2 linked regions of the Drosophila melanogaster genome follow. The protein of the gene in region 1 interacts with the protein of each later gene in a pairwise test. Each region holds a gene or a part of one and is shown on either strand. Other genes may lie near its edges. The genes, in order: EndoB and CG2157.

Evidence for each region.
Region 2: the proteins of EndoB (region 1) and CG2157 interact in a two-hybrid assay, tested with the Drosophila melanogaster proteins (one large-scale study listed by BioGRID).

Annotation. Positions count from the first base shown.
Region 1 is NT_033778.4:19,301,588-19,318,583, reverse strand, and holds EndoB (endophilin B), read left to right. Parts: upstream 1-7,918; 5' UTR 7,919-8,031; coding exon 8,032-8,109; intron 8,110-8,270; coding exon 8,271-8,768; intron 8,769-8,885; coding exon 8,886-8,921; intron 8,922-9,000; coding exon 9,001-9,191; intron 9,192-9,352; coding exon of another isoform or gene 9,353-9,557; intron 9,558-9,770; coding exon 9,771-10,011; intron 10,012-10,068; coding exon 10,069-10,197; 3' UTR 10,198-11,137; downstream 11,138-16,996. Other genes in the region: Rgk1 (Rad, Gem/Kir family member 1), read left to right, coding at 84-185, 245-511, 948-1,042, 3,246-3,337, 3,831-4,023, 5,454-5,589, 5,659-5,799, 5,870-5,987; Acadvl (Acyl-CoA dehydrogenase very long chain), read right to left, coding at 11,477-13,360; Tab2 (TAK1-associated binding protein 2), read right to left, coding at 14,951-15,642, 15,706-15,909.
Region 2 is NC_004354.4:10,863,171-10,878,624, forward strand, and holds CG2157 (uncharacterized protein), read left to right. Parts: upstream 1-6,113; 5' UTR 6,114-6,209; coding exon 6,210-6,221; intron 6,222-6,566; coding exon 6,567-6,939; intron 6,940-7,012; coding exon 7,013-7,371; 3' UTR 7,372-7,533; downstream 7,534-15,454. Other genes in the region: CG1637 (uncharacterized protein), read right to left, coding at 11,304-12,000, 12,071-12,417, 12,633-12,829, 14,245-14,383; Ork1 (open rectifier K[+] channel 1), read right to left, coding at 15,346-15,454.

The sequences.
Region 1 (16,996 bases):
CAGAACACGAGGATGTGCATAGAGGACTCGCATTTCTAGTTTGGTTTTTGGTACTAACAAGTTCAACCATGTTCGGATTTCAGATATGGCTCACCACATCACAGCCGCTCGCAATCGGTGAAGATGCCCGGCAGCAGAGCATCCGGAAGGCCAAATCAGCTGTGTCTGCCCCAGCAGAGATCCAGGTGGGTGTCCCACATCCGGTTTAGTCTATATGGTTTTAACCAATTACTCTTGGATTTAGGGTGGCTTCCATGCCGAATACAGGAGTAGAGGAGGAGTACTACAGACTGCGTCACTTCTCGATCACCGGCAAGGGTGTGGTAAATCGCGGTGATTCCCTCAAGAGCCGACGCAGTCGCTCCAACAACAGCGTGGCCAGTTCCAATTCCAGCACGGAGCACCTGACCACCCAGCAGCAGCTTTCCGCCCCCGCATCCGTATCCGCTCGAACTTCGCTGGCTTCCAGCAGGGAGAGCAGTACATCCAATCCGGGCAACGGTCCCTACAGGTGAGTCCGTTTTACGGGGAAAGCTATTACATATTTTTGATTTCGCAAACTTTTTGTAAGACTACTAAGGCTTTAAACATAATATAATTAAATGCGTAAACTGAGATTGGTAATAAATATTATTTGCCATAACAAATTGTGGGTTTCAATCTGAATCAGATACATGTCATTAGTCAATGCCGCCCATTTAAACGTGCATTGTAAATCAGAATATATACATTAACCAGAAAGTCCGGCTCATATTTAAATGCGTTACCCTCTAACCTTTTGAAAACAAAATTCAATGGAACAATCAAAAGGTCAAGAGTCACCTCATTAGCATTGAAATAACAATAGAAACAAGAGCCAATCGACTTCGATCGCTTGGGATAATACAATAGTAACATAAAGAGGTTGACTAATTGGCTTTTTCCGCTTTCTTATTTCACCATTCCAGGGTCCTGATGCTGGGAGGTCCTGCGGTGGGCAAGAGTTCGCTCGTCTCGCAGTTCATGACGTCGGAGTACCTGCACGCCTACGACACGAGCATCGGTGAGTTTGTAGCATGCCCCTCCGGAGATGCTTGCATCCGGATTCCCTATTCCGTATTCCGGATTCCATCCCACCCAAGAGCACTGCATAACCCCCAGTAACCCCTGTATCCTACCGTGTCATTCCATGTCTGTCTGCTGGTTGTGAGCGAGTGCTTTGGCTTTACTTGATATTATTTCATAATTCATTTGTTGGCACTACCTCCGTTTTCCTAGTCGATGTTGTAGCTGCCTTGCTGTATAATTATGTTGGCTATTATATTTGTTTCTGATTTCGTTGCTCTGTGTCTGTGCCGTCTGTTTGCCCCCGTATCATATGGCTTTTTATGATTCCGTGTTCGGAAAGTTTATATTCCATAGCTCTGTACTCGTACTCCCCGCTTTTTGTTTGGTTTCTTTTTGCTTTTGGCGTTTTATGATAGCGCCGAGCTATTGCCACCGCCCGATGGGTCAACACAAATTGGCATAAAGCATAACAAACGCTGCTGCAATGAAAATAAATTCGGATCTTTTTTTTGGGTTTTTGCGACTCTAGCTAGGAATGGAAAAAAAAAAAAAAACTGAAAACTGTTTCATTCTTTGGCTGGGAGTCAATGAAAAGATTCGAATAAACATTTCTATTGGCACAAAGGAAATATGGGGGAAAAAAATATTCATAAAACAATAAATGTTGGCAGCGAATGGAAAAATTAAATGGAAATAATTTTGTCGTTCGTCGCTTAGTTGGAAATTTTTAGTGCAATATTTAACGATTTTTGTTTGTGATCAAATCCAAATTCCCTAAGATATATACAAATATAGCAAACGGTCCCAGTGTAAATGCTTATCCAATACACAAAACCTCATAACGAAAATCCGCAATTGTATCATACTGTTTTATAAAGCAATGATAATTTGTTCTGTTTCTCTCCATTCCGAATATCAACCAATCATACAACTCAATGTCTCAAAACTGACCCTACAAAACTCGAAAAACTCAACAACAACAACCGAATTAACAACAACATCTTTGTACATACAACAACAAATTGTGGTTGTAATCAGATCTAGGCAACTGTGATATACGCATTCTAATTGAAAAAGCCGCCGACGGTAAAAGCAACCAGCAACTTAACAAAATAATTATTAACCTTGTTAATTATGCTACTACTTAATATTTATTCAAATATCTCTATACACCTAATTGAAACGCTTTTCGACTCTCCAATTAAATTAACCAAACTCAACAAACTAGCCAAACACTTGATCCACAATTGCATTAGCCCTGCGCTTGAAAGCTAATAAAAAAAACTCCGAAACACACCTGGTTCCGCCCACTAGCCACGCCCCGGAAGTTAGAACACTCCTCCCTCCCCACCGAAAAACCGAAAAACAAATATAACACCAACTAGCCAATATATAGAGCATATAATATATAGTCCCATAGACCGCTCCACCATCGATTGCCATTGTTTCGCTTGTGATTTATGGCCAGCCAGCCAGTCGATGGACGGCAGCCTTGAGGGCAGGCATTCGATATGATTGAAATGATTATGCACATCACAAACACAACTAATGAAATTTAATTAATGATATGCCGGGCTCTGCAATTATTGATTGCCACCTGGGGATGGGAACGGAATAATGGTCGTGCCATATATTCAAAACTATAAATGCCACAACTTCAACTATAGCTATAGCATTTTTAATTAAAAAAGAGGCGCACAGAGAGCCCATTAAATGAATAATAATTGTGAAAACACTCAGTCCAACCAAAACAAAGTCACATTTACCCAGCCACCTTCCTTTCACCTTCCATTTACCCATTTGGTCAGATGACGACTTTTTCGCCCAGTCCATGTTGCGCGTCCATTTCGTTGCACACTTGTGGGGGCCAATTTAATTTCCCATACATTAGCATACATTTCGGGGCAGTCCGGTGTGGACATCCGGTGAATCCCCGCAGCTGTGTTCATTCAACTTGGCTAATGGATATATCCAAATACTCGATACTCGCATGCAGTGGACGACACTTGTAGATAAGCCCATCACAGAAAACATCCAACTAAAACACCTGCACATACTCTTTGTTTCTGCACTTTCGAGAATAGATGTTGTAAATCATTTCATTGCTTGACATTTGAGCTATCGAACTTAAGAGTATAGTTTGGCGCACATGCTAATATATCGGTGCTAACCTCGATTTTCCCCTTCAATGTGTGCAGATGATGAGTCCGGCGAGAAGGCCGTTTCAGTATTACTCAGTGGCGAAGAGTCCGAGCTGATTTTCATCGACCATGGATACACCGAAATGACTGTAAGTACCTTACAAAACACTCATCATCCTCTCAAGGGTATGGGACAGTGGTCACAATAACGCAGGGATATGCATAATTTAAAAGCAATACATTTTTAAATGGAAATAAATTTCAAATATTTGAAAACAATTTTAGTTTTTTTTTGTACATTTTTTTTTTTTAACATCTATCTATTTGCATAAAAGGCAAGTGCTTTTCATAGTGCACTTTAAACAAATTGATTCTCTAATGGACTTAGGTGCTTTCGAAACACCCATTATTATGCAGCCTCCAAAGCCTTGTTGCCATTATTGTGACCAGTGCTATTATATATACATACATACCTGCTCATCCATCCGGCGCCCTGCACTCTATATGTGACATTTCATAATGCCATTAGCATGCACGGCCATCAACTTACCCACACAGAAGCGGGAAATCACACTTTGGCAAAGCCCTCAACCTCACTCAATGTCACCTCGGTGTCACTGCCATTTCTCCATCCTTTCACAGCCGGATGAGTGCCTGACCAACTACGATCCGCACGGTTACTGCGTCATCTATTCGGCCGCGGACAGGAGCAGCTTCAGTGTGGCGGAGCAGGTGCTGCAGGTGCTCTGGACCAATCAGAACATCGCCCAGAAGGCAGTCATTCTAGTATCGAACAAGGCCGACCTGGCCAGGAGTCGACTGGTCACCTCTGAAGGTAAGCGACACGTTATAATGCTAATAAATATGTGGGAGGATTTCGGTTATCTTCCCCTCCCCCATTAACACTGGAAAGTGCGCTCGATTGGGTCTGTTACGAATAGATATACGAGTATATATAAACATAACGATATATAGTTCGAGTGTATAAACAGAACCGTCGTGCAGGGTCAGCTGAAGAGTTTGCCAAGCGGAAGTCATCCGGCGGTTCGCCTACCCAAACAGCCGGAATCTTAAGTGGAGGTGATTCCGCACCCCCCCCCCCCCTTGAAGGTCGACAGTTTCGGGGGTCCTTTTTGTCTACTCAAGTGCTTTCACTTGACTTTTATATCAGATTCCCTTTAAGACCAAGGTAACTCGGGCGCTTTCATCTAAGTAATTCAATATTTTCCGTTAAATTACGTTTGTTATTATGAAAGTAAGGGTGGGTGGTGACTGGAAGGGTTCCCCAGTTCTGCCAGTAAAATGGCAGTGGAGGGAAATTGTTTCAGCGCAAAATTGATTACATTTCGTCCCGTGTGGCATGTGTTCCGCTCAAGGCTTAAGGCCCATAAGCCTATTGTTGTAAACAGGGCGACAACAGGACCTACATTCGCCACCCACTACCCAACGCCCACATCCAACGCACAATCTTGAATTTGGGCGGAGAGTTCCTGTCCACCTAATGCGACGCCCTAATTTCATAAAGTATTTATAGAATTTTGTATGCCTCTGGCAATAATAAAATGAGCGCTTGGCCCAGAAATGTCTGGATAAAAGATATATTCATAAATCTATACATTGTCAAGCTGATTGGAAAAATATGAATAAAACCTAAGTGCGTCACAGGTGATTCTGCCACTCCACAGACTCTAAAAAACCTTTTGAAAATTTAATGTATTTTCCATTTCCACCTCATAACTTTTTGGCATACTAATGACGCACTAATTATTCAATTGGGGTAAATATTGCCCGATGTCGCAAAACTTTTGTTTACCTTTAATTAGGATCCTATTTCATCTGTAATCGAAAATCGGAAGGTTAAGAGCTTAAGTCTTTAAGCGCCCAGGAAAAGGCTGGTCTGCCTATCAAATAAATATATGTAACTTTCGTCACATTGTTAATAAAAATGTGAGGCTGTCATAAAATTTGCACCAGGAGGGTCACCATACGCATGGTGTACCGAACTTTGATGCTTCAGATTTTACGAGTTGTGTACACATCTGTGGACAAGACGTGACGGATGGGATGGGGATTCCCCGCATCATGTTTAGATACAAATCCCAGCCGAGGATGAGGTTTTACGACCAACTCCGAGTTAACTAAGCGAGACCATTCGATTTGATTAACTGGGATGATGGGCGGGCAACTAAGCTGGAATGTGATGCTTTTGGCCATAATTTTTACACATTTTCACTTAACCTCTCCATCGTGCCATTTTCATTACAGAGGGCAAGGCCATGGCCACCGCCTACGATTGTAAATTCATCGAGACGTCGGTGGGCATTAATCACAATGTGGACGAGCTGCTGGTGGGTCTGTTATCACAGATACGACTCAAGCTGGAGAATCCCGAAAAGTCCAGGTTCGTCGAGAGCTACTCAGAAGTAGTCTTTATTTTATTCACTTATGTTTATTATGTTTCTTGCCACAGGGATCTGTTCCGAAAGCGTTCGATTCGAAAGTCAAAGAGACGCGCCTGCTCGCCACTGAATGCCGGATGCCTGAATGCCAATACCCCTCTGGGTCCGCTGGGGGAGGCGGTGGCCACGCCCCCGGGCAGTGCCCAAAGCAGGTGAGTCATCGCCACGCCGACAGGCCATCAGAATCAGGCAGTAATGCTGATGCACCCTACTCTTTTGCAGTCCCCGCAAATACCGTGGATCAAGGACCTCCACCAGCCTGAAAGTCAAGGGACTTTTGGGCCGCGTGTGGACTCGGGACTCCAAGTCGAAGAGCTGCGAGAATCTGCATGTACTCTAAGCACAGAGATTATCCAAAGTGTAACCCACAAGTTTCCTATAGAGTATGCAAGATCCTAAGTTAAAGAAGAAACAGACTCGACTACTACCGGGGGTATTATTCCCAACTGTACATATTGTGTATAATTTTAGTCTTAATTTACGCTAGTCACTTCCTCCATTAATCATTGTATATAGTTTGTCTAAATATAAAACTATTATTTGTAATTGGTTTTTTATGCTCTTTCGTTTTCCTCTAAGCATGAGTTGGGATAATTTTGAATGCTCGTTGTAATACGGCGACTGGAATAAATTAGTTATATTTTTGATTGAAAGAAATCGTAATACAAAGGAATCCAAATAAAAAGCAATAATTTTTAAAATGAGAAAATAATATTTTACCCTTGTTCGTGGACGAATGAATACCAATTGTACTGATTTTTTGAAGATATGGCGCTTGTCCGCCGAATGAAACTTATTGTTAATTATATACGTGTAGTTATACATTTGTAATGGCATTGAATCTCGTTTTAAAATGGCATAAATATTCACATGAATGTTGATTGAATTAAAAGTTCATAATATAATTGATCGATTGCAAACCAGAAACTATATTAACCACATTGTGCAATTTTGCTTAAATAGACCTAGGGATTATTATGCCGTAATTGTTAAACAAAACCATTTTTTTAAACAAAGAAGCCCATCGTGCACCCACAATCCGCACGCCCTAGGTTTCTCAAGTTAGTCGGGACCATTTCAAAATTAATCAAAGATAGCAGAAATACGAAAGAAACACTAGATTTACACAAGGGCTACTTTTAGGTTCATGTCAGCGTAGTTTTACATTAATGCAATATGTGATTTTACACATGGTCCACTAAATCAAGAGCCTAAGCAAAACCATTTTGTTAACGTGTGCAATGCGACCTGCTGTATCAAATATTGAGGTCGGATCGAGAATTTGTAGATTTTTAACTATTAATGTGAACACTAGTAGTGTAGGGCAAATCACACAACTATTCCATAACAATCTAGATGTCCATTAAATGTATTATAAATGTCCATTAAGTATTATAATCACCAACAATTGCAGCACAATGGAATTTAACGGATTTGGAACATTCAAGGAAACCCCCAAATAATACGTGCATCCTAACATGTGTGTAAGATATCCGATCTATAACAGATAGTTAAAATATATACATATAGCTGTAATTGATTTTTGTCCAGAACTCTGTGTATTATTCTCGCTCAACATGAATGAATATGAATTCGAGCCGAAAACTATATAGGAAAGTGATAAAAGCACACTCGATTTTGCACAGATTGTCATATGATGTATAAGGAAAAGCGAAAGTCAGCCATAAATGTAAGAAGCAGCAGAGTGGTGAAAAGTTATCAATTGAATGCATGTTTTAATTTTTCCGCTCCGATAATATATGTCTAATGAGTGTGTATTAAATGTGAAAAGTTAAATTTAAATGTTTTCCAAATCGTGTTTTATTTTGGGGGTTTAATTACAAGGTGCACGGTCTGCAAGCAGGGTAAGTAAAAATTAGTTTAAATGTTGAAAAATGATTTTCATCCATATCATGATTAATTGACTATGTTATATTGTACAAACGTTCACATTTTTTAAAGCTTGCCATAGTAGCTTTCGTTACTATATAGATACTCACCACACTTGATTTACCGAAACTGTTAGCTTACATAGTATGTAGGTATGTATTTGCTAACAGACAGCTTAATTGTTATCTACTTTGATGTCGTGGCATTTGTTTAATAGAAGTAAATTTCGTTTCACCATTTACATGAAGAATAAAGAAGAAAAAGCTATGATAAATTAAAAATTAATACAATTTTACATTTTACTCAATAGTAGTATTTCCAATTAGAACTCTGTTCCAGTTGGAATTCTTCGGTATATTTGGTATATTCCTGGGAGAAACAATGGGTCACACTACGAAGTAGAGGAAATAAATACAAACAAATTGGGCTGTGTAGCGGAATTTAAATTTAAACTTTATCAACGGCAGTGTTAATTAGCGAACCTCTCGGCAAAAATGAATATAAATCTGCCGAATTTCAATGTGAAGAACCTGGTGAAGGAGGCGGGCAGCACAATATCACGAGTGGTGCAGGTGAACAAATCAATGAATTTGGGTGGCTGAAAAAAAAGCGGGTGGTGGTGAACTTTCGGTGGTTGGGCAAATGACAGATGTACCCCAAACCAATCTCAAGCACTTTCGTTGTTTCTTTGCCCTTTTCAACGGCTCTCCATTGTTTTCAATGACCTTTTCAGCTCACGGAGGAGAAACTGGGCACCACGGAGCGCACCGAGTACGACTTGCACTTCCAGAATCTCGCCGAGCGGGCTGATGTGACCAAGACATGGACGGAGAAGATAGTGCGCGACACAGAGTCGGTGCTGATACCCAATCCTCAGAACCGGGTCGAAGACTTCATCTTCGAGAAGATTGAAAAGTCGAAGCCAAAAAGGTTGAGCAACCTAGAGCACCTGGCTCTGGACATGATCGAGGCTGGGGGCGATTTCGGGCAGGATTTACCCTATGGTCAGGCTCTGATCAAGGTCGGCCAAGCGGAACAGAAACTGGGCCAGTGCGAGCACGACTTTATAGCCACCTCGGGCATTTGCTTTACACAGCCGTTGCGCAAGTTCCTAGACGGCGAAATGAAGACAATTGGCAAGGAGCGAGGCATCCTGGAGACCAAGCGCCTGGATCTGGACGCCTGCAAGAACAGGGTGAAGAAAGCGCGCAGCATGCTGGGTCAGCAATCGGTAAGTGGGTGGGATTTGATGGGGTTTCCTTATTGCAAGGGGGTATGATTGATTGGGTTTCGTAATGGCTTTTTCACTCACGGTCTTTTTCTGCCCTCTGCTGCCCGGAATTTTTAGAAAGATGGCATCTCGCCAGAGGCCGTCTTGGAACAGGTATCAAAACCTTGACCGAGCTCGTGCTCTAGATTTATGGCTAATCAATGAGCCAATTTCTAATTGCGATTTTTTCTAGGCGGAACGGGACTTGCGGGTGGCTCAGGCCGAGTTCGACCGGCAGGCGGAGATTACCAAGCTGCTGCTGGACGGGATCAGCACATCGCAGGCATCTCATTTGCGCCACTTGCACGCCTTCATCCAGACGCAAGTGCGCTACTACAAGCAGTGCGGCGATGTCATGGAGCAGCTGCAGCGTGAACTGGCCAAGTAAGTAGTAGGCGATCGATAGAGAATGACTGTGACTTCCACGTAGGCACCAAACGAATCTTTTCTTGCACACCAAAACACCATGTCCCATCCTTGATGAAACCCGTGGTCCCTTCTGGTGGTCTCACTGTGCGTTATGATATCTGCTTGTGGTCTTACAGAATGCAGCATCCCAAGCCACGCCTGCGTATCAATAGCGAAGACGTTGATTGTGGGCCTCCCAGCTCGGTGTCGATGCATTCTTGTGATTCCGATTCATTAGGGGGGATAGCCCTAGATAGCGATCCAGATCCCGATTTGGACAAGTCGCTTACGAATCTGCTCGAAGACTTTCACATAGAATTCGATACGACAGCCGTCTCCACAGTTTAGGGGTCTTGTTATTGTGATCTTCATATCGAATCGGATTCCATGCCCAGTTAACATTAGCATTTAATTTCAAATCATACGTACTAGATAGGTTGCTGTTATCGGTAGTTGTTGCACTTTGTAAAGTCAGGTTTCAGCAGCTCATCTCTCCATTTAGAGCTCGCTATCAAATCGAATCAAAAACTCATTAAACTCTGCATCTTCCATCAGCTTGGGAGGCCCCACGCCATACATTCCGCTCGACGTGAACGAGGCCAGTGCCAGCAAGTCCAACATATCGTCCGGAGCCGCAGCCCGTGGTCCTGGCAACAATCACTCTGCCAATATGGCTGCCACCGGCCACAAGCCTAATCAGCCCATGCACGTCAGCACGGATCAGATGCAGAGGGCACGCGTCCTTTGCTCCTACGACGCCAAGGATCACACCGAGCTTAATTTGAGCGCCAATGAGGTAAAGTAAAGAACAAATAATATCCTAAGCAATGCTTATATATAACTCATTTTTCAGGTGATCTTCGTGACGGAGTGCTCACCAGTAAACGAGGATTACATGTACGGAAAACAGGGTCTATTGAAGGGTCTGGTGCCACGCGCATTTGTTGAAATGCTCGACGAAGAGCACGATGTCACCCTCTAAGCCCTCCAGCAATTTGTTCAGCAATAATCAATCATTCAATAATCTCAAGCAAAATTAATGAACAAGAAAATACTCCAAGTACGGCAATACTCATATGTTAAGAAAGCAGACACGATCGAGAGAAGGGAACGGCAATTGGACAATTAAAGGATGCGGCCAAAGCGGCATTTGGCACTAGCAAGAGAGTACAATAATTTATTAGAATATACATACATAAATATATACAAGGCATAATATACATACATGAGCGTGTTGGTTAGTAAAAGCATTGTAGATTAGCCTTCGGTAATAATCAAACCCAGATCCATGCCCAAAGAGCTACGCTACTCCGTTGCACAGATCACGCTGTAATCAAATATGCATTCTGGCTGCCTGAAAAACCGTCAAGTTATACATGTAAATTTATGCAATTCCAAACATTATGATTGTTAAATCTAATCGCATATCTAAAGAGAAAGTGCTGTTTTATTAAGCTTCTCTACACTCGAAAAAGTATTATATATGTGTTATGTTTGTCAATATCTTAGTTAACAAGCGAAATTCTCTGTGCTTTACTATATATCCTATAATTATAAACGTAAGTATGAAATTGTTAATCCTATTATCTATATATTCAGCGAAGGCGTTTCCAATTATTATCTAATATATTTGCTGCAATTATTATGTTACCAAATTTTTCGTGCAATTTTTGAAAGTCAATTAAAAGAATATTGCTTGTTACATTTAAGGCAAAACTTTGAAACACCAAGGCGCTTGATAGCTAAAAAATAACAGATAAATATTGTTGAAAACGTACAATACAATAATTAAAAAGTAAACAACGATGATTTTTAGGTTTTCAGCAAACAAACAATGTTGTAATATGAAAAGCGAATTTTTAAACACCAACTATTATACTACATAATTACAAATATATGATCAAAATTAAAACAACAAAACCAAATTAAGTTCGATTTATTTTGTATTTCATTAGATTGCCCGTCCAGCTTTGAAAATCAGATCGAGATGGTAAGTGCTTTAAATTATATTTGTGAGCTTTTCTACGTAAAAGGAATAGAGGTGATTTGATTTCAAGAGTTCTATTATCTGAGTTCATTTATAGATGATCAAGTATTTGTTACTCATTTGTTCAATGATAGTGCATAATCACTTTAGAGAGATTTCGTATGTGAGAGCGAGGTGAACTTTAGACTTCAGCGATTATTATTTACAAGACTTTATTGGCATTCATACTAGGTTAACAATCAAGGGCTTAAAATTCGTATAAAAGTATATTGGTCTAGTTTTGATCCAAGATTCCAGTCGTAGTCACACCGCCATTTTCCAAAGTGGTCTTGGCGATGGTGGAAATCTTCTCATTGAGAGACCTATGATGACTGGATGTGGCAGCCTGTAGATTCTTAATCACTCGATCAGATGCCTGAATAGTGAGTGCCTTGGTCATGTTGAGCTCGTGTTGTGCAGTTGGCAGATTCAGATTGACTGCACGGGATGATCGCGATTGCGTCACAACCATTGCATAAATATCAATGGCTGCATTTGCCAGTCGTGTTAGCAAAATTTGTTCGTTAACTATGTTTTTGTTGTATCGCAGCAATAGTTCTTCCACCGATTGTCCAAAAAGATCAATACAATGGGCCGTTTTTTTGGCATAAGGCAAGAGTTCACCCACTACGTGGCCACTCAGATCGGTGCCGCCCAAGCCGACAGTGGAGGCCGCCCGCCTGGAGGCCTCTTTGAAAATCAGTCCCAAATTGGCCGAGGGATTCTTGAATGCGCGCTGCAGTTCCTTAAGGTGGGATCCCGCATATTGAATGCCAGTCAGGGCAATGAACAGCCGGAGAATGTCATTGGTGCCCTCGAATATGCGGAAAATGCGCAGGTCACGCAGGACTCGTTCCAATCCATTATCCACCATGTATCCCATGCCGCCCAGAATTTGTATAGCCTCGTCGCAAACATACCACGCGCTCTCCGAAGCATAGATCTTCGAGATGGCGGCTTCCAAGTGATAGTCCTTGCTGCCGGCATCCATGTTTTGTGAAATAGTAAACGCCATCGACTCCGTGGCGTACTGCAGAATGTTCATCTGAGCCAATTTCTCTTGGATGGATCCATAGTTCTTTAGTTTTTGACCAAACTGAACTCGATTGTTGGCATGCTCGGTGGCCTGTTCGATGCATTTCTTCATTGTTCCCGATAGCGTGGCGCCCATTCCAAACCGACCGTTGTTCAATATGTTCATGGCAACCTTGAATCCATCACCTTCCTTGCCGAGCACATTTTCAATTGGAATCTTTACATCTTCGAAATACACTTCGGCCGTGTTCGATGCCTTGATGCCCATTTTCTTCTCCGGTGGTCCATTGGTTACACCTCCGAAGGATCGTTCCACAATGAAGGCAGTGACCTTGTCCTTCTTCTCGCCAGTCTTCGGGTCCACCTGCTCGGTCTGTGCGAAAACGGTCATAATTTCGGCAATTCCGCCATTGGAAATCCAGATTTTTGAGCCATTAAGGACGTAGTGCTTTCCATCGGCACTCTTCACGGCACGGCATCGAATGGAACCCGCATCAGATCCGGAGCTGGGTTCCGTAAGGGCAAAGGCAGCGTACACCTGCTCGGCGGCCACCTTGGGCAGGTACTTCTCCTTCTGCTCGGGGGTGCCGTACAGCAGTATTCCCTTGAAGCCAATACTCTGATGGGCGCCAATCGTGATGCCCAGTCCCAGATCGTTGACACCCACAATGGCGCACAGCCTGCCGTACTGGGTATTGTTCAGACCGAGGCCACCGAATTCAGATGGCACTTGGATTCCGAAGGCCCCGAGCTCCCACAGAGCCGTCGAAGTGGTGTCATCTATTTTAGAGTTGGCATCGTTGCGGGCAGCGTCATTGACATCGGAGAAGAAACGCTCGAACGGATCTATCAGGCTGTTGGTCAGCTCCTTCTGCTCCGCGGTCAGGACATCCGGATACGGGAACACTTGGCTTGACACCAGTGATCCACGGAAGATGTTGGCCATAAAGGACTCATTCTCACTTGCCTTTTCCTTGCTGCGATTGCTTTCCGCCCCCAGTTTGGGACTGTGCGTCGCTATTTGCCTGCAAAGCGAGGCGTTTCCTGCCAGGTACCTGGTACTTTGGATCGTGTGCCTCCACATAGTTTCGAAATTGTTTGGTAAATCGCCCTTTGGACCGAGAGTCTGCAGTGTGCCCACATTCCCGATCACCCACGACGACGTCATCACCGCGACTTGCGCAGTCCAAATCTGGTATATTTCCTCAGAGCACCGAGTACCGGAGTATTCATCGTTTGGCATATTAAATTCAGTTGGTTTCCAAATCACTTAAAGAGTTTTTTAAATTTCGAAAAGTTTCTGGGGGAGTGTTTTTAGTCGTATTACTTGTTTTATATAACTGTTACTGCTTTTGAGAATTTTTGTATTGTATAGAACTTATCCAAAAATCGTTTAGCATCTTCAATTCTCTTTGTTTTCAAATCTCTGGAAGCGTTTTTAGAAATACAAAATGTATTTGAACCTAACTTAAATCTCGATCTGGATGTGGAAGAGAAGCATTTTGAACCAGATATTATAAATCTGATCCATCTGATGAAGAAGATTAAAGAAATGGTTTTGGAGTAATATTATTATCAATCCTGCTGTATATTGCAAATAGTTAATAATTTACCGCTGTTGATAAATACTAACTGCCCCCAACTCCAAATTAAAACACAAATGACGCTCTTAAACTGCAGTTTAATGTCGATAAATATGCGGCTTTTGAAAAGCTTACAAAAGTTCCCTTGTCGGTTGACCTTTTCTTTCTAAATCCTAACTCATTTCTGTTCAGTTAAATAAATATTTACAAAATGTACACGGTTTTCCATTACAATTAATAATATCTAGTTTCAGTTGATGCGACGTTGCTTAAAGTCTTTTCTTATCTAGTATCGATAATAAATTAATTGCTGCCAGCAGCATTTTTGCTAAATAGAATAGTTCCTCAAATCTTTTTACAATTCCTTAGGATAAGTTACCGTAGACTAAAGCGAAATTCAGTTGCAGAATTCAGATATGTATCTCTGGAGCTGGAGCTGTCTATGTTCTCATGGTGAGCGTTTGGCCGACTGTCATGATAGAATCCAGGAGTGTATAATACCTGCACATCGAAGATGATCAATTAATCCAGTTGGGCAATTATTTATTTATCTACTTACGATTTTCGCCCGGCGATAGCGTTATATGTATGTCCTCACGGCTCAGAACAGGGGCTAAAAGTAAACATTTGGCCAAAGCCCAGACACATGTATTTTTGCTTTTTACCAATAAAACGTGTAAAGCAACAACTTGCGAAGCTTGTGTAAATATTTAAATAACGTTCTTTATTTACTTTTGAGCGGGCTAAAAATAATAAACTCTGTTTCTCGTTGGCTTAATGCTAGTTTAACGGTTAGAGGATATTGTTAAATTAAACGGCCTGAGGCTGAGGCGATTGCATTTAATGTACATACATAAATCGAATATGTTAAAATAATTTAAAAAGGCCGCGCTTAAGCAATTCGTTTCCGTTCGCTGTTGTTTTCGTTTCGCACATGTCTTTCAGGTGGAGCCATGCAGTGGATAATGAACCTGCCGCCTACTAGTTTAAATGCTATCACAGTTTCAAAGTCGAGCATGCAAGAACAACAGTCAGGAGCTAGCTCATGCACGATAAGAGAACTTTGTTATCGTTTGGTGCAGCTTTTTGGGTTATGTATGCAGAGCGTACGGCTGCTGGGACGGCTGCTGTTGCTGCTCAATGCTGCCGGGTGGCGTGGCAGCAGCAGCAGCGGCCCCGCCTCCACTGGGAACAATGCGTATCATACCCGGCTGGATCCTAACGTTCTCACAGGCCTCACAAATATTTAGCTGTGGATGGTTGCGGAATGTACACATGTTGCAGGCCCACGAGTCCAGCGTCTCCTCCTCCTCATCCACATCGGAGTCGGACAGGAATTCTTCCTCCTGTTGTGGCTGCGGCTGCTGTTGCTGCTGCATCTGGTGTTGTAGCTGCTGTTGCTGCTGCATCTGCTGTTGTAACTGCTGCTGTCGCTGCTGCTGCAGATATTGCTGGAACTGATAGTACTGGGCGTACGTCGGTGGCGGCTCCTGCTGCAGCTGTAACAGTTGCTGTTGACTCTGCATCTGGGGCGTTAAACAGGCCGAGGTGGGAGCACTGCTGTGGTGCTGCCCAAAGTCCTGCACCGGCTGGGAGATGGGTGCTGCCGGCACCGAGTGCAGACGTAGTGAACTGGGCGGCGCCTGGACGCGAGCACTTTGACGCTGACGCGGGAATGGCTGTGGCTGTTGCTGCGGCTGCTGCTGTGAAGCATTGCTGGCTGGTAACAGGTGCTGGCGGTTCGTGGGATTGGCCGCCGGACCAGGGCCATTCGCCTGCGGTTCTGTGGATATAAGAGGGGCAGAGTCAGCATAGAAAAACCGATATACTTTGCAATCATCCTTACCATTTAAGCAGTCAAGCAGCCGATTACAGTCCTCAGTCAGTTGCTTGATATCTCTATCCAGTCTTTCAGATTCCCCCACCGGCACCGGCTCAGTCAGGATGTTGATCTCCTGCTCCAGGACGAGCAGGCGCTTCTTGTTGTCCCTCAGTGCATTGGCCAGCTTGTCGCGACGCTGCTTCTGACGCTCGATAGTGGCGGCACGAGCTGAAGTAGATAGAGAGAAGAAAAGCTGATCAATCGATTTGCTGACTGTGGAATGTGTAGCTCCGTTGGCCTGGCAACAAATGATTGCCTTGCGGCATTTCGAATTTCCAAATATTCCTCCCCGCGGCTAGATTTATTTTTCTGTCTAACGCCTCCCATTTTATTACTCTGTTTTGTTGCTAAAAATATTTACCCCACCAAACGCCTGTCTGCCGCAGAGTGAAAGGGGTTCATAAACAGAATTTATATTTAAATAGATAAATTTAGTTAAAATGCGCAAGCAAGCACAACCAAAAATCAATCTAATAATAATTTATTCCTACGAAAAAAAAGGTAAAAATAAATGAATACAAAAAACACACAGACAAAGTCTTTCGATGCATTTTGTGTTTGGCTTTGGGCGACTGTTCATGTGAATATTTTTAGACGCTTGATAGATTTCCAACGGAAATAGCCAACAGGGCAGTGGGCCAAGGGATCTCTGAATATGTCACATCATTATGTGCGATTCGCTGGCATCTTAATTGATAAATTATTTCGTTAATGGCTCTAGCTTTTCTAAATTCCAATTTGTGTTCTATACACCGATGGAAAATTCTCCAACAATATGAACGACATTTAAAGTGGTTTCTCGTGATAGCGTCGCGTGATTAAATGTCAAAGTGTAAGTGCCTTTTGGGCCCACGCTGCGTATGCTTAATACCTTAGCTAATCAAACGGAGAGATTTTCCTGTTCGCTTTCTTCTCTTTTTCTTTGTTTCTTCTCTGGTTTTACCAACCACCCACACGAATCGCCCTGAACTTGAACGACTTGCGGCGAAAACAAATTGAAAACGTCGCAGAAAGAGCGGCAAAAGCAACAGACGTATAAATAATGTGAAAAGTGAGATGGATGGGGGGTACGAAATCGGGAAAAACATGGCCAAAGCCAGAAGCCAGACAAAAAACAAAAGACAGCATTTTTAAACTCGTGGGCGGTCGATATGGTTAATGTTTTAAACGAAATATAATTAATTAATAATATAAATCGTGTACAATATGCTTGTTTATCTATCGCTTTCTTCTACAACGCTGAGCTATGACGGTT
Region 2 (15,454 bases), on another chromosome or scaffold:
CCAAATGTGCATACTATGTGCATGCTCATAGCCCTTAGCCTATGTAATCAAGTGAAAAATATTTACACCTCTACATACATTTATATATATATACATAAAGTGTATATATTTATTTATAAATACTTCAATTTAGTTTTAAGCACAAAAGCTGAGCGTCTATTTTTTATGATGACAATTCTACAAAGATTTTATTGAAAGAAAGAGAAGTTAAGAAGTGCAAATGCTTCTTAGGAATTTACTTTAAATTTACCTTTAGTTATTTGAATTATTTTATACATTGTGCCCCGTTGATTGTAAATGAAATTTATTGTCTGTCCTGTTGTGTTCTTTGTAACTACTATAAACCACATACGAAACTATGTTAGCTTGTGAACTAGTTTAACTAATAAACTTGAAATATTGCAGCATGTAACGTACTTGTACACACAAAGCAATACCTTAATGGCCTGGAAAACGCAGACACATAGAATGCTACCGATAAACTGGTAATGCAAAATGATCAAACCATAAATTACAATGGCATAGTACATAGGATACCACATACCACTTACCATATAACACTTATCGCTCACTTAAAAAACTGGCCAGTTAAAGAGTAATCAGCGGAATGAAGTCTTCGTTGGTGAACCGCAGAATTGATGATGAGCAATGATGGATAATACCTAGTAATACTAAGTACTTGTACATAATACAATCGAACTATTCGGCTAGCCACATTTATGTAAACATACCACACACTTTCCTACGAAAGCTGAGAACATATTGTCCGATCTAGAACAACAGCCATAAACTTCACTTAGATTATTTGCGTCGAAGATAATGCGAAATGCCTAGACTAAAGAGATTGTTAAATTATTGCCACTCCCGCTCCCGAGAAATATAAATATATATATATATATATATATATATATATATACTTAAGTCATAGAGAGATCTGCAAGAACCATTGTAATTGGACAGTAAGCATTGTACTTTGCACACTATTGCAACACTCGAGAAACCCCAATTGTGTCGATAAGCTAATGAACGAATACGTTAATATGAGTCATTTTTATTGTAACTAAGCTAACTAGATAAAGAAAAGGTAGAGGTATATCGCAAATGCAGATGACATGAAATGTATGTACTAAAATCGCTCTATTAAAAACGCATCGAATCCGAATGCGGTACAAGCTTGACTTTTGCATTGATGTAAGTGGCACATTTATTCATGTGACAACAACACAAAGAGATACAAATGTAACTATCTATCTATTTATCTAATATGTGTGGCGAAGGTAATTGTTGAGGATGAAAAGGGGTCGCAACGCTAGAAAATGATAAGATTTAATGGGAAGCGCATAAAGAAATCGTATATGCCTAGGTATATACATACGTATAACTCTAGTAATCGTAATGCTACACACAATATGATATAATATATGGATTAATAAAAACCAATTATACCACGTGCACACATAAAAGCGTGCGGCAGCATAACTGTATAAACATCTAAAAATTATTCCAAGTGATTTTAGCTTTTTAAGAACCAAGTCGAAACAAACTGAACACTCGTAGTGGAAAACACGAAATAGCGCAAGCAAATGACAAAACAAAAATTGAAATGATTCCAATTTGCAAATCCGAGTCTGTGATTATTTTTATATTATTCTTATTATTATGCATATACATATATTACGATATATAACAACTATCCATTACGGCCCAACCCACAGATCACCAAAACATACTCGTAATAATTTTGTTTACCCACCCGATCGTTTTACCCCAAAAATTTCTTATTTTGTACACCCCAAACTACAAACCTAAAACTTTAAAATCAAATACTAGAATTAAGTGCTAGTTAAATCGGTTTGCGATCAGGCTCCAACGCTCCATTCTCAGTCAAATAGATTAGATTACTTGGGGATTCGTCATTTATGTGTGATATACCATATATATGTATAGTTTTTTGCGGGATCGGGAGTGGAGTGGAGTGTTTGGAGCGTTGCGATCAATGCCTATTTAGTGTATAAGTGCATTATATTTTCGGGGCACTAGTTTTCGATACTGGGCCCCACACACACACAAGACAACACCATCTAATATTCCCCGCATTTTCCCAGCTTTACATTTTCAGTTCGAATCGCCAATACATTTTACCTGTGTATAGTGTATAGTTAAGAACCGACTAGCAGAAATGCAAACACTATTCGATGTTAGTTATCTATATATGTACCTAGAAAGTTACTCTCTATGTGTGCACGAAACCTATCCGTAAATTTATTTATTATAATTTTAAGCATTTTGAACGATAATATCTCTGTTTCTACACGCCCAAAAATTTTTGATTTGTTAGTCCTAGACAAATAGTTTGATTTTGTTATAGTTTGTAACTTAACTTTTTTCCTCCCCTTATTGTTTATGCCCCTGTTATCACGCCAAACTACTGTTCCTAACCCAATCCAATTCCCCATCACGTGTTATACCCATCATTTAAAACTAACCTAAAAATGTCAATTGGAACTTTTTTCGATGGCGAACGCAACTGTACCCCCAATGTTCCTTATTCCATAACATTCCCTAGTCCTCTATCTCGCTCTCTGACAACTATCTCTCTCTCTCTCTCTCTCGCTGACACCTATATCTATCTCTGACCATCGCAATAGCTGTGTCTCTGTCTCGCGCGTGCACATGCATTAGAGCAGAGCAGAGATACCCAGATATTAACTTAATTGTAATCATATATAAAACCTATACCTAATTTTCTTTCAGCACTATTCTTTGTACAAATCGAAAGAAAAAATTGACAAAAAAGAACGTACAAAAAAATCAAATCAAATGAAACGAAAAGAATGACAACAACTTAAAAACCAAAAAATTAAAAAAAAAAAAAAAAATGAGAAAAAAGGAATGAATAAATTACAGAAAGTAGTTAGATTGGGCGAGGTGCCATTTGACGAGGGAAGCTCCGCGGGCAGCTCGCCAAAGAACTTTTGAAGAAGACTAAATAAACTGATATATACATGAGAATACATGATATATATAGAGACCCAGTCCTGTATATATTTGTATATGTATATTTTTTACAGCATTCAAACCGAAAATGCATTTTGAATGGGTTGATTCTGATTGGAATGGGTTGATTCTACAACTTTGCCCCTGGCATTGTCTCTCTAGCTGCGATTTATGTGTGCCTCGTTCGTCTGGGGATTTATGGATATGTCATGCATCTTCAAACTATTTTCATTGTTTTTTTTTCGCATTCAATCGAAGTGAATGAGAACTGGAACTCATCGCTGGCGACATCGAATCTAGTTATTCACGAGACGCGTCTAATCAATTGCAGATGATTCATTTCGAGAGCCGAACCCCATTCATCTCCCCAACCTTGATATGCATATGTAACTCAATTGGTGCTATTTTCATGGACTGCGCTGTAGAGTAGGCAATAGTAATTGAATCGCACTCTGAAGACAAACTGAAAGTATCCTGATAGAGAGTTGCATTATCTGCAGTGGAGCAATAATAGACAAGGTGTATATTATTTACCATTATTTAAGTATTTAGGTCAAGGTCGCTTGGAGCTTGGGGATACGATCCATTATGGGGGTGGTGGTCACCGCTTGAGCGAGGGACTTGACTTTGTCGTTTGGCCAGTCGCACAATGCACATGGATGGATAATCGTGTGAAGTATTCTTGGTCTTGGCTGATGGTAATATGCAATTATGCAAAGTGCAAGTTCAGCGGAAAAGGCCATGGTTTTGTTTTGCTTTGTTGTGGATTTGTTGTCGCCACACCATTGTCTCCAGGTCTGAGATTAGCTAAGGTAGCCACCCAGATGCAGCCCACTTCGACCCACTGCCACCCCAAAGTTCCCATCATCATCATCATCGTCGTCATCATAGTCAGCATCATCATAATTTTCAGCTTCATTTGCTCGATGTACCTTGCTTGCGGTTTTTTTTTTTTTAAAGCTGCATTTGGATCGCTTTAGTTTTCAGTTTTTCTGCTTTCAGTTAACCAAGCCGCTCTGTTCAATTATAATTAAATCTGTTTGTAAATATAATTGGTGGGCGTGCGACTGGCATGAATGATGCAAGATTGCTGCCACCGTCGAGCGTGATTTGCTTTTGCAAATTAGAACAACGAATCATGGCAACGCCCCGGGGAAAATGTTACCTGTCTAATCTGGGATTTGGTTCTTCCCTTCGAATGCACTGCGAAAAACAGGTGCGTATACTTCAATGGAAAAGATACAACATGAACTGAGTGATATACAAAGATAGAAAAACTCTTGAATACAATAATGGATTAGAATGGTCTTAAAATTCTGAGATGAAATATGCAACTTAAATGATATTTGAAAAAATCACTATACTAGTTTTGCTCCACATTTTTTTATGCTTTTAACTGGCTCTATCTCAACTGACAAAGTTCTAAATCTGATTTTTGCACCGTGCTTGCTTTTCCTTGATTACTCATACGCCCCGTGTGCGCGGGTTGGCCAAGAAATGGAGGCTACCACTTACCGCGAGATTCACGGGCTGCCCGTGTAATGGGCTTTTAGGCCTCGGCATTAAAGAACCATTGTCTCAGTGGGGTAAGAGCACAAGAAAAGAAAAAAAAAAACGAGAAACTCCCAGGCCATCGCCAAAGTGCACCCATGGCCAAGTCAACTCATAGCAGTCGGCAGTAGCTTCGGTTGCCTCCCTCCATCCATCCCTCCATCTATCCATCCATCCCTCCAACCATCTATCCATCCATACAGTCAGTCGAATCAGTTAACACTTTTCACATGCCCGCCGGGTCGAACAATGTGAACCCACTCATATGGGCGGTATGACAAGCGTATGTATATACTATGTGGCTATCCACAAGCATGGCATCGACAACTATTTTGACATATTTCGTAAATATCCGTGGATAAGTATCGCAATGCTATTGGCACACGTAACTTCAACTGCACAGATACAAGCTACAGTTTTGCAGTTTTGGAAAATGGCAAACGGATATAGATCGTTATGTTCTTAAATGCTACTTTATTATTCAAACACTTGCTAAAGTTATTATTAAAGTTATTTGAAACATCTGAGTACTTTTTAGTTTCTTGTACTAAACTCTATAGATTAAATGTACTTAAATGTGGAATACCCCTGAATTTATGCTAAAACTATCGCCCAGATTGGTAGAACCTAATTCAGTCCATTCAACCCAATCGAAGTTACGACTCCAATCCGTTAGGTTTTTTAGAAAATGTGTCAGCAATGTTGGTTGGAATGGGGATACTTAGCTTAGGCACTTGGCCAAAAAGCCTCTAAGAAATTAACAATTGCCACCTTTGTTGGCGAAATTCAAGCATTCAGATCCGCCTGGCTCTTCTTCTCTGCGATGTTTTGTTAACAATTTCAGTTGGCTTAAATAAGCGCTGGAAAGTGAAAACCCAATTCGATACTGTTGTTCATGAAATGAGTCACGTACTAGCCGCAATATTTATCTATCTAACTAAATCGTTTCAACTGGACTCGCATGATTGCTGTTACGTTTTTTTTTTAAACTTTGTTTTCAAAGCTGCAATCGTTGGGCATTTTCGCGTTTTATGTTGACCAATTAGCTGTTTCAGGGTCAAGTTAATGATTCAATTAGCATTTGTCATCATTGTTATTGCTTCTCCTGAGCGGCGGCGGTATAATTGATCCCCCAGATCGTGGGAATATTCATAATGATGTGTGATCACACATCAACACGCCCAACCAGCTTTTCATAAGTAGATCATTCGAAAGGTATTGTTTTCTTCAAGAAAAGAGTTAAGATTATAAATATGTATTTAATATACAATATTAGCAATCTAAGTTGATCCAGAGTTGTTCCATAAATGGGTTAAGTAGAGCTCATCTGATTCTGGAAACTATCTAATCCAGGATATAAATTCAATCTAATATGTTTGATGATTAAGCCAAGACCCATCAGCATACACGTTGTCCAGTGGCATGCGTCATACATACATAGGTGGCAAGCAAGGCGACACGAATCTCTGGGATGCAACAGTTGCGTCCAACTTCGCGGCTCGAGTTCGCTGGGATTGGAAGTGGGCTCGGCGGGTATAAAAGCGACTGCCGGCCCGGTGGGGAATCATTAGACAAGTGTCGAACGGCGCGTGCGCATCATAGTCTTGAAGGAGCAGTTAGCCACCAGAAAGCAGTGAACACCACAAACCGGCAGCCACAACATGAAGTGCTTTGTAAGGACTCGCCAAAGGATCTCTCGTGGATTATAATTTCCCAAAAACTAGAAAATGATTTAAAAAACACAGTTCGTTAAAGTGAATAATAAGTTTTGAAAGCATTGTATTCCAAATGCTTGATGTTCATTGTTAAATTATAAAGTGTATTTAAATTTTAGTTTAAAGTTGATACATATTTTTTACATTTTTTTTATTACATTTTTGAATATGTTTTATGTTGCTTTTGAGAATTTGTTAAACAAAATACTATTGTTAAAAAGTACTTTTCACTTTATTGAAATATGTTTTAAGTGGTAATCTTTTGAATATGATACATTTTGGTGACGCTTTATCCTCGCGCAGTTTATCCTGATAGCAACCAGTCTGGTGCTGAGTGCCTATGCCCAGGACGCGGCGGATTCTGACCTGGAGCAGGTGGCATCCGCATCGGCACCGGATGCGGTGGCCGTGGAGGATCAGGTGAGCGCCGCCAGCAGCTATGCCCCGCTGCAGGATAAGAAGCAGGAGAAGCGCTATGTTGGTGGATACGGTGGCTACGGAGCGGGCTACGGCGCGGGATACGGCGGCTATGGCGCCGGATATGGCGCAGGATACGGCGGCTATGCCTCTGGCCTGGGAGCCGGCTATGGAGGAGCGTACGGCAGTGGCGTCGGCGTTGGCGTGGACAGCTACTACAATCCGTACAGCTCGCGAGCTCTGGGTGGATTAGGTGAGGGTGAGCTTGAAAGAAGACTCTCAATCTCTTGCCGAAGACTCGTAGTATACCAACGCTGTTTCTCAATCCCCAGATGGTGCTGCAGTGGCCGGATACGGAGGCTATGGATCCACTCTGGGCGGCTATGGATCCGCTTTGGGTGGCTATGGATCCGCTCTTGGTGGCTATGGATCGGGACTTAGTGGTTATGGTGGCTCCTACAACTCGAATCCATACGCCCTGTCATACTACAACAGCAGGCTGGGCGCTGGAGCCGGCACTGGGTATCCGTACTACAACACCCGATTCGGCGCTGGTGGCTATCCATCCAGTTACTATACGAGCAACTATGGCAACAGCGTGGTGGGCGGCGGCTTGGGCGCTTTGGGCGGAGTGCCGCCCATCGGATCGGGCTATAACTACGGTTCCGGAATCTCGGGAACCGTCTACTAGACACCGCACGGTCCAACGTTCAAGATCTAAGCTAGTGGAATTTATTTTTTTTCATCGATATATTTTTTTCTAACTTTATTTTTATTAAAAGATGCTACAAAAAAATACATTATCATAATCGTCATTTAACTAGAAAGTATATATTTATATATGCATGTAATCTCATTGGGGCGATGGATATGCGCCATGCTTGTCCTTGATCACCCAGAAGGAGTCGACAATGGCGCCGTTCTGGTCATCGGACACCTGCTCGAAGTGAAGATGCGTGCCATTATGTGCCTTCAAGCGGGTGTATCCGTAATCCTAAAGAGATTATAGAATTATAGTATTCCGTTTTGATATTAAGCAGGTCATTCAATTACATTGCTATGGTAGGCATTCCAGATGGGCAAATCGTTGGAGAAGGGCTCGCGCTCCTCCTTGCAGCCGGCGGAACCCGTGATGATCTGGATGGGCGCCTTGGGATTAGTGTATGGCGCCTCGGCACTGCCATTGTACACCTTGTAGTCGTAGATTGGCCACAGGCGAGTGTAGAAGTGTTCATGCGCAAAGATCTCCACGTCGACGCCGTGCTTGTAGAACAGATCCTCCAGGCCGAACCACTTGAGCATGGGCAGACCCTGGCGAATGTACGTCTCCAGTTGGCTATTGCAATCGTACTCCTTGTCGTCGCTGCAGTACATCGGTCGATGACCGTAGGTGATGATCCACGGACGTTTGGCCCGATTCTCGGGCAGATTGGCCTCGGCCAGGTCACGTTCCAGCCACTCGAATTGCTTGGTCAGCAACTTGAAGCCATAGCTGAGGAAGTAGTAGACCTCCGTGGAGAAGGAGACAAAGTGCACGGGTCCCAAGTTGAAGCTGTACCACAAGCTGTCCGTTTCGCCGGGCATATTGAAGCGGGCGCGATAGTTGGAGAAGTTGCTGTGATGGGCCAAAGTAAGTTAGGTTTGAATAGTTAACACACCGGCATCATCAAATACTTACTACTTCTCCTCGTGATTGCCCGGACAAACCATGTAGGGCACATAGGCAGCCACCGACTCGATCTGGCGCATGAATGCATCACCCACGGCAGCGTTGGAGGTGTCCATGTCGTAGGCAAAGTCACCCACATGGATGATGGCATCGTACATGCCTCGCTCAGTGTCCTGCTGTAGTCGGCCCATCGACTGGGCATTCTCGTTGCCCATGTCACCGAAAATGGCCAACGAGGGCGACCACTTCTCACCCGCCGGTGGCGTCTTGAAATTGAACACCGCCGACCAACCGAGCGGACTGCCGCAGCTGTACTCGTACCGCGTGTCCGGCTCCAGATCCTTCAGTTCCACATTGTGTATGTACTGAGTGCGAGCCTTCTTTCCACCATCGACGAATCGCTGCCAGGTGCCGTTCACCATTATCGGCTCGTCTTTTAGATAGTTCCGCGAGAATTTAACCACCGAGGCGTTGGGGGAACTTCGAGTCGACCATGTCACCACAATATCACGAAGATTGTCTACAACAAAGTTCATTAGCTGGGATTATTCTCACTTTTAAAGACCCAATTTATATTTAAAACCATCTCGTTTTAAAAACAGTTTCCCCTCGAATTTCGTACTTAAGACTATAGAATCAGTAGGCCACAATCATTGCCACTCATACATAGTTGTTTTATTTGAGCGTATAACTGTAATTACATTTCATTAAAATATATATGTTTAGAAGGAGGATAGTTTCTTGGTCCGATTGCTGCGAATATAAATCATTCGAATTTGTGCCCGAATTTAAAATACTTTAGTATATGACGACATAAAATATCACAAAGTTTTTGAGTTGAGATCAGACTGGTACGGTCCATGCTTGTCCTTGACCACCCAGAAACTATCGATGACCTCGCCCTTCTTGTCATCGGACACCTGCTCGAAATGTAGATGGGTGCCGTTGTGGGCCTTCAGTCGAAGATACCCAAAGTCCTGGCTGTGGAAGGCACTCCACGGAGGCATGCGCTTGAAGAATGGCTCCCTGCCCTCGTGATTGCCGGCAGCTCCCGAAATGATGTGTATTGGTGCACCGGGATTCACATACGGCTCGGCCAGCGATCCATTGAACACGGTGTAGTTGTACATGGGCCACATCCGCTCGTAGCAGTGCTCGTGTGCCCACAATTCAATATCTACGCCGTACTGATAAAAGAGTGGCTCCAGCCCGAAGAAATCCAGCATGGGCAGACCCTTTCGAACGATTGTCTCATGATTGGCACAGTCATCTCCGTTGTCATTGCTGCAGTACATGGGCCGATGGCCGTATGTGATAATCCAGGGACGCTTCTTCCGGTTTTCTGGCTTGTTGGCCTCGATCAAATCCCGCTCCAGCCAGTCGTACTGCATCACGATCTGCTTGATCCCGAACTTAGTGAAATAATAGACTTCTGTGCTAAAACCGATGAAGTGCACCGGTCCAAGATCGAAGCTATAGAACATGTTATCCGATCCACCCGGCATGCTGAACCGATTGATGTAGTGCGAAAAGTTGCTATGGGTTGAAAGGGAAAAGTCCTTATATCAGTCATCATCATTATCATCATCGCAATTGGCTTGTGGTGTAGCACTTACTACTTCTCCTCGTGGTTGCCCACGCACACCATATATGGTAAGTAGGCGGCTATGGTCTCCACCTGGCGCATAAACTCGTCGCCGACCTCTCCGTTTTCCCAGTCCATGTCGTAGGCGAAGTCTCCCACATGGATGATGGCGTCGTACTGGCCGCTCTGCGTTTCACGCTGCAGCGCTGGAAGGGATGCCGCATTCACCACGCCCATATCGCCGTAGATCGCCAACGAGGGCGACCAGTCGGCGTGATCGAATCGCGTCCGAAACCAATAGGTGGCGGACCAGCCCAACTCACTGCCACAGTGGTAGAGATAGGTGCTATTCGGTTTCAGGTGGGACAGCGTCACCTGCATTCGGATGGGTTCATGGATTAGATGCCTTCGTTTGCGACTCTTGCTGCGTCGTTACTCACACGATGTATATACTGGGTGGCCTTTTTGGCTCCACCATCCACGAATTTCGTGGGCATTTGCGTCGCCTTCACTCGCTGATGCAGTCCATCGATGCCGAACTCACAGATTGATTCGTTGGTGTTGTCGCGCGTGTTCCAGGTGACGACAATGTCGAGCACGGTTTCTGCACAAGCACACTGATTAACTAGGAGCTTAACACTGAGCATGTCACATATTTACAACACTTGTCTACAAGATGAAGTCAACTATTAATGGATTCACTCACAAACCATTTGATTGATCGTTGAATTCTCAATTGAGTTGTTCCCAGTTTTATGATATTGAATTGTTTTATCCCAAAACAATAAGCACAATGAAAAGTTCAAGACATTTATTGTAAAGATACTAGGCATTTAAACAACAATCAGTGTACAATCGGATTGCCGTGACTATAATAAACCCGGTAATCGGATTTCATGTACTTATTGATAATAAAAACCGATCGGGTGCATATCCATTAGTCCTTTAACATTGATCCTAATAAGTATATCAAGTACATCCCATACACATTAAAAACAATTTGCTTAAGACAGCAGTTACCGAGTACCAGTTTTTGAACATCAAGTAACATGCGACAGAGATAAGAAACTAAGTTCATTTACGTTCTTATCAGCTTATGTTAAATGCACACTTAAAAGCGCTTGCATATGTGTAAATGCTGCGTTTGTTAAATTGGCTAAGTATAAAACTGTAGTTTGTTTCGGGCTGGGTTGAGATATTTGGATAAGGAATGTGCCACGCTTATTGCTATAGTTTGTGATCGAATCAGGTCGAGGCGAATGTGCGCTACTAATACTGCCTGTTGCTATTGATGCGTGTAATGCCTCGAGAGACTCCTTTAGCTTGAATTGATTCGGCTCAGGTTATGGTTCAGATTGGGAATGACTATTTAGTTTCGGTAGCTTCCATGCTTGGATTTCACCAACCAAAAGTCATCGATGATGGCGCCGTTCTTGTCGTCGGACACCTGCTCGAAATGGATATGTGTTCGATTGTGAGCCTTGAGCCGTGTGTAACCATAGTCCTGGCTGTGAAAAGCGCTCCATTCGGGTATTTTGCCCTTGAATGGTTCTCTTCCCTCCTTGCAGCCGGCGGATCCTGTGACGATGTGCACAGGGGCACTAGGATCATTGTACGGCGAATCCTTCAGCGTTCCATTGCGCACCTTGTAATCGTAAATGGGCCAGAGTCTCTCGTAGGAGTGCTCGTGCGCCCAAATGGCCACGTCCACGCCGAACTCGTAAAGCAGCGGCTCCAATCCGAACATGTGTACAAATGGCCAGCCCACCCGCGTGAGAGTCTCTGAGTGGGTGCAGTCATTGTCGTTCTCGTTGCTGCAGTACATGGGTCGATGACCGTACAAGATGATCCACGGACGCTTGTTCCGATTCTCTGGCAGATTGGCCTTGGCCAGATCCTCACGCAACCATTCGAACTGGAATACCAGCGGCTTTAAACCATAGTTGAGAAAGTAGTAGACCTCCGTGCTAATGCCCACGAAGTGCACGGGTCCCAGATCGAAGCTGTAGAACATGTTCTCCGTACCTCCCGGCATACTGAAGCGGGCACGATAGTTCGAGAAGTTGCTGCAACACCAACAATTAGATCCTGCTTCTACCAAAAAACACTCTACTCTCTGCTCTACTAGCTACTCACAACTTCTCCTCGTGATTGCCGGGAACCACCATGTATGGCAGGTAGGCAGCCACCGTTTCGATCTGCCGCATAAACTCATCCCCCACGCGAGCATTCTTCGTGTTCATGTCGTAGGCGAAGTCACCCACATGGATGATGGCATCGTACATGCCGCGCTGCGTCTCCTGCTGCAATCGGGCCAGGGATTGGGCATTCTCATTGCCCATATCCCCGTAGATAGCCAGCGATGGCGACCAGTCAACGGATGCCGAGGGCACTGTGCGAAACTGGAAGATGGCCGACCAGCCAAAATCGCTACCGCAATGGTAAGAGTATGTGGCATTTGGCTCCAGGTCCCTAAGCGTCACCTAAGCAAAGTAAACAATAAGTTTTTCTCTCTCTTTCTGGTACATCAACTGCGATGTCAAGGTGGATCGATTGATTGTTAAGAGATGGAGTGCAAGCAGTCCTGGCTCATTGGTTCTTAATTTGGTTCTAAGAGCCGGATTCAAGGTTGCATTCCTCTTACATTCTCACATCAATCTACTTGAATCGTTTGATCGGTTGCATACTCTATGCATACCCTGTGGATGAACTGCGTGGCCTGCTTGTGACCGCCGTCCACGAATTTAGTAGCCTTTCCCCGGGCCTGTTGGGTGAGCCTGACCTGTCCGTCTACCAGTTGACCGTACTCCACCACGCTGACCGCACCCACTTCCTGATCCGGCGGCAGGCTGCGCGTGGACCAAGTGACGACTATCTCGCTATCGGTGCGTTCTGCTTCAGAGGACAAGCGGATATCGAGAAACGGGGAAGAGTAAAAGAAAAACAAACTTGAGCAATTTCGTTGGTCCAATGTTGGTACGTTTCAAATGAAAGGAAAACAAACAATTAGCCCCCATCCGGCATCTAATATCATTTAGATTTGGCATTAATACTGATTACTAAACATGAAAATGTATAGATTTATAGTATAATATAAACAATGAACTCGAATTCCAGATTTGCCACGATAATGATTCGCATAATTAAAGTTGATTGAAACAAGTGCTACTTGGTTACTTTAATGAATAACTTCAATCCCATTAGCATCGCTTGTGCCAAATTGAATTTGAATCTGTAACGGGTGCAGGGTCGTCCAGTCATTCATGACCAAATGTTATTGTCCAATAAAACCCTGATATTTTTGCTTTGCAGCGACGCTCCATTGTTTGCTTCATCCTTATCGCCAACCCAACAGAAACTAGAAACTAGAACACAAAGCCAAATGGCCGGTGGGATGACGATCGACCGTATCGGCAAATATGAGGCCCCACAGGGAGCCAAAGTCTATCAATCTTTGGGTTGCATTTCAGGGTTTTGAAGTTTGCAATGCCCGCGTTGTCGTAGACAACAGTGGAACCCCAATATGGCGGAATAATGCTATTTTTTTTGGGGGGGAATCACCTGATTACAAAAAAGACTGGCCGAGCGGCTGACGTTTTTAATCTTGTTCAGTTTTTCGCCAATCGCACTACACAGCGATTAATTTTAGCATTGTGCACGAACACATTCACAGTGGCATACTTAAATTGTTTGTTAATGTTTTTGTGTTTGACCTGCCACCTCATCAGGCCTTAAATAAGCTTGAATTTATTGCTGCTTCCAAAAATTCGGAATTAGATGTTATCAGTTTTGGAGTTTTATGGGACTTTCGATTATTAATATAAAGCTATATTTATACAATATTTGGGGAAACCTTAGGTATTACCTTGTTGTAATTTGTAGGCTGTAACTAACGATCGTATAGATATTAACTACAATTAAATATAACTATGCATTGCGCCCGTTATTGTGGGTGCATTTGCATTTGTTCATCCCATTTATAGGGGCGACGACACTGATAATCATTTTATGTAGCAAATGATTCTGGGCGGGATTGGAAAGCAAGTATTGATATCACTCGATAAGTGCCTCTGGAATTGCGTACTATACGATCAATGTTTTTCAAAACCATATGTGATAATACACATAAAGGAAAATGTAAGTACAATGTAAGGTAATGTAAATAAAATAAACTTTCCTACGTGATAGATTTGTAATATTAGAAACTTATATGCCAAGCTATCATTTTTCTCCCAGTGTATTCTAACACTAATGCAACGCTGCAGGTGAGCAATTTACATAATGCGAAAAGTAAAGAAGATCGCACTCACCTCCAAAGGACAGATGCACTTGCTCCGGCTGATAGTGAACAATGTCGACGTCCTGGTCGATGGGAGTGCTCCTAATCCCCGGAAGAAGCAGCACCAGCAGGAGCAGCGACGCTAGCAGAGCGAATTGCAGTCTCTGCATTTTTACCGTTTTGTATTTACTTGTGTTTGTTGTTGCACAGTAACGCAGTCAGCAAAAACATTGCCAAATCACAATTGCGTCGTTGTCAAAGTGGGGACACTTGGCTCGGGGAGTCGTTGGAGTTAAACGGGGGAATCGACAAATTCGCTTGCGGGAACAACAAAAAATGAGCACTAATATGGAAATATCCAGCAATTTATAAGCGCAGCCACAACAAAAACAATCCGGGTGCAGTGTGACCTTGGCCGCCGAACAGCAAATGCCAGTGGTAACGATTGCACGCTGGCGACAACTATCGATAGAAAGCGATAAGTGAGCGCGCGATTTGAACTTGATACGTAAATAAATTACGTGAAAATGACAAATTTATCTAAAGCTGTTTGAATAAAAATGAAATAGCGTTTCAAATTCAAAACAGCTCAATTGGTTATTCTATTGTTAATACATTTCGACCAATTACTCAATTTCAATTAAATCAATCAATTAGAAATGTACGCATTATTGCAGAATATCTTTATTATATAACAGCATATGAAATGTTTTGGGGAATGAAGTCCCTCTAAGAGCTAAATGAAACTACACACAATTCGAGATCCTTTGTCGGTCCCAATTGAATGCTTGAAAACATGCGGATCGTTTTGTTCATATAAGCGCCTTCTTAGCAATAAACATAGAAGAATATATATATAGATATATAGATTAGGGTATATGGGTATAAATACAGGATAACAATAGAGAGAGAGAGATAGAGAGATAGTTTTAACAATACATACAACTAGGATAACTGGATATACGTATGTAAATAGGTTTAAGGATAACATTAGCATAACAACTAAGGACTTTTGGCAGCCTTATCGACTTTGTGGCATACATGCTGTGAAATTGGCAAAGCAATTCCGCTGGACGTGGAAATACATATGTATACGATACAGGTAATACATCTTTCGGACAAGGAAACCTAACTACTTCTCGGCGGGGGCACCACTCGATCCCGTGGCCGCTGCACTGGGCATGCTGCTCTTGCGCTGTGCTTGCGAGATCTGCACGATCCTCGAGAGCGGCGAGTGGGTG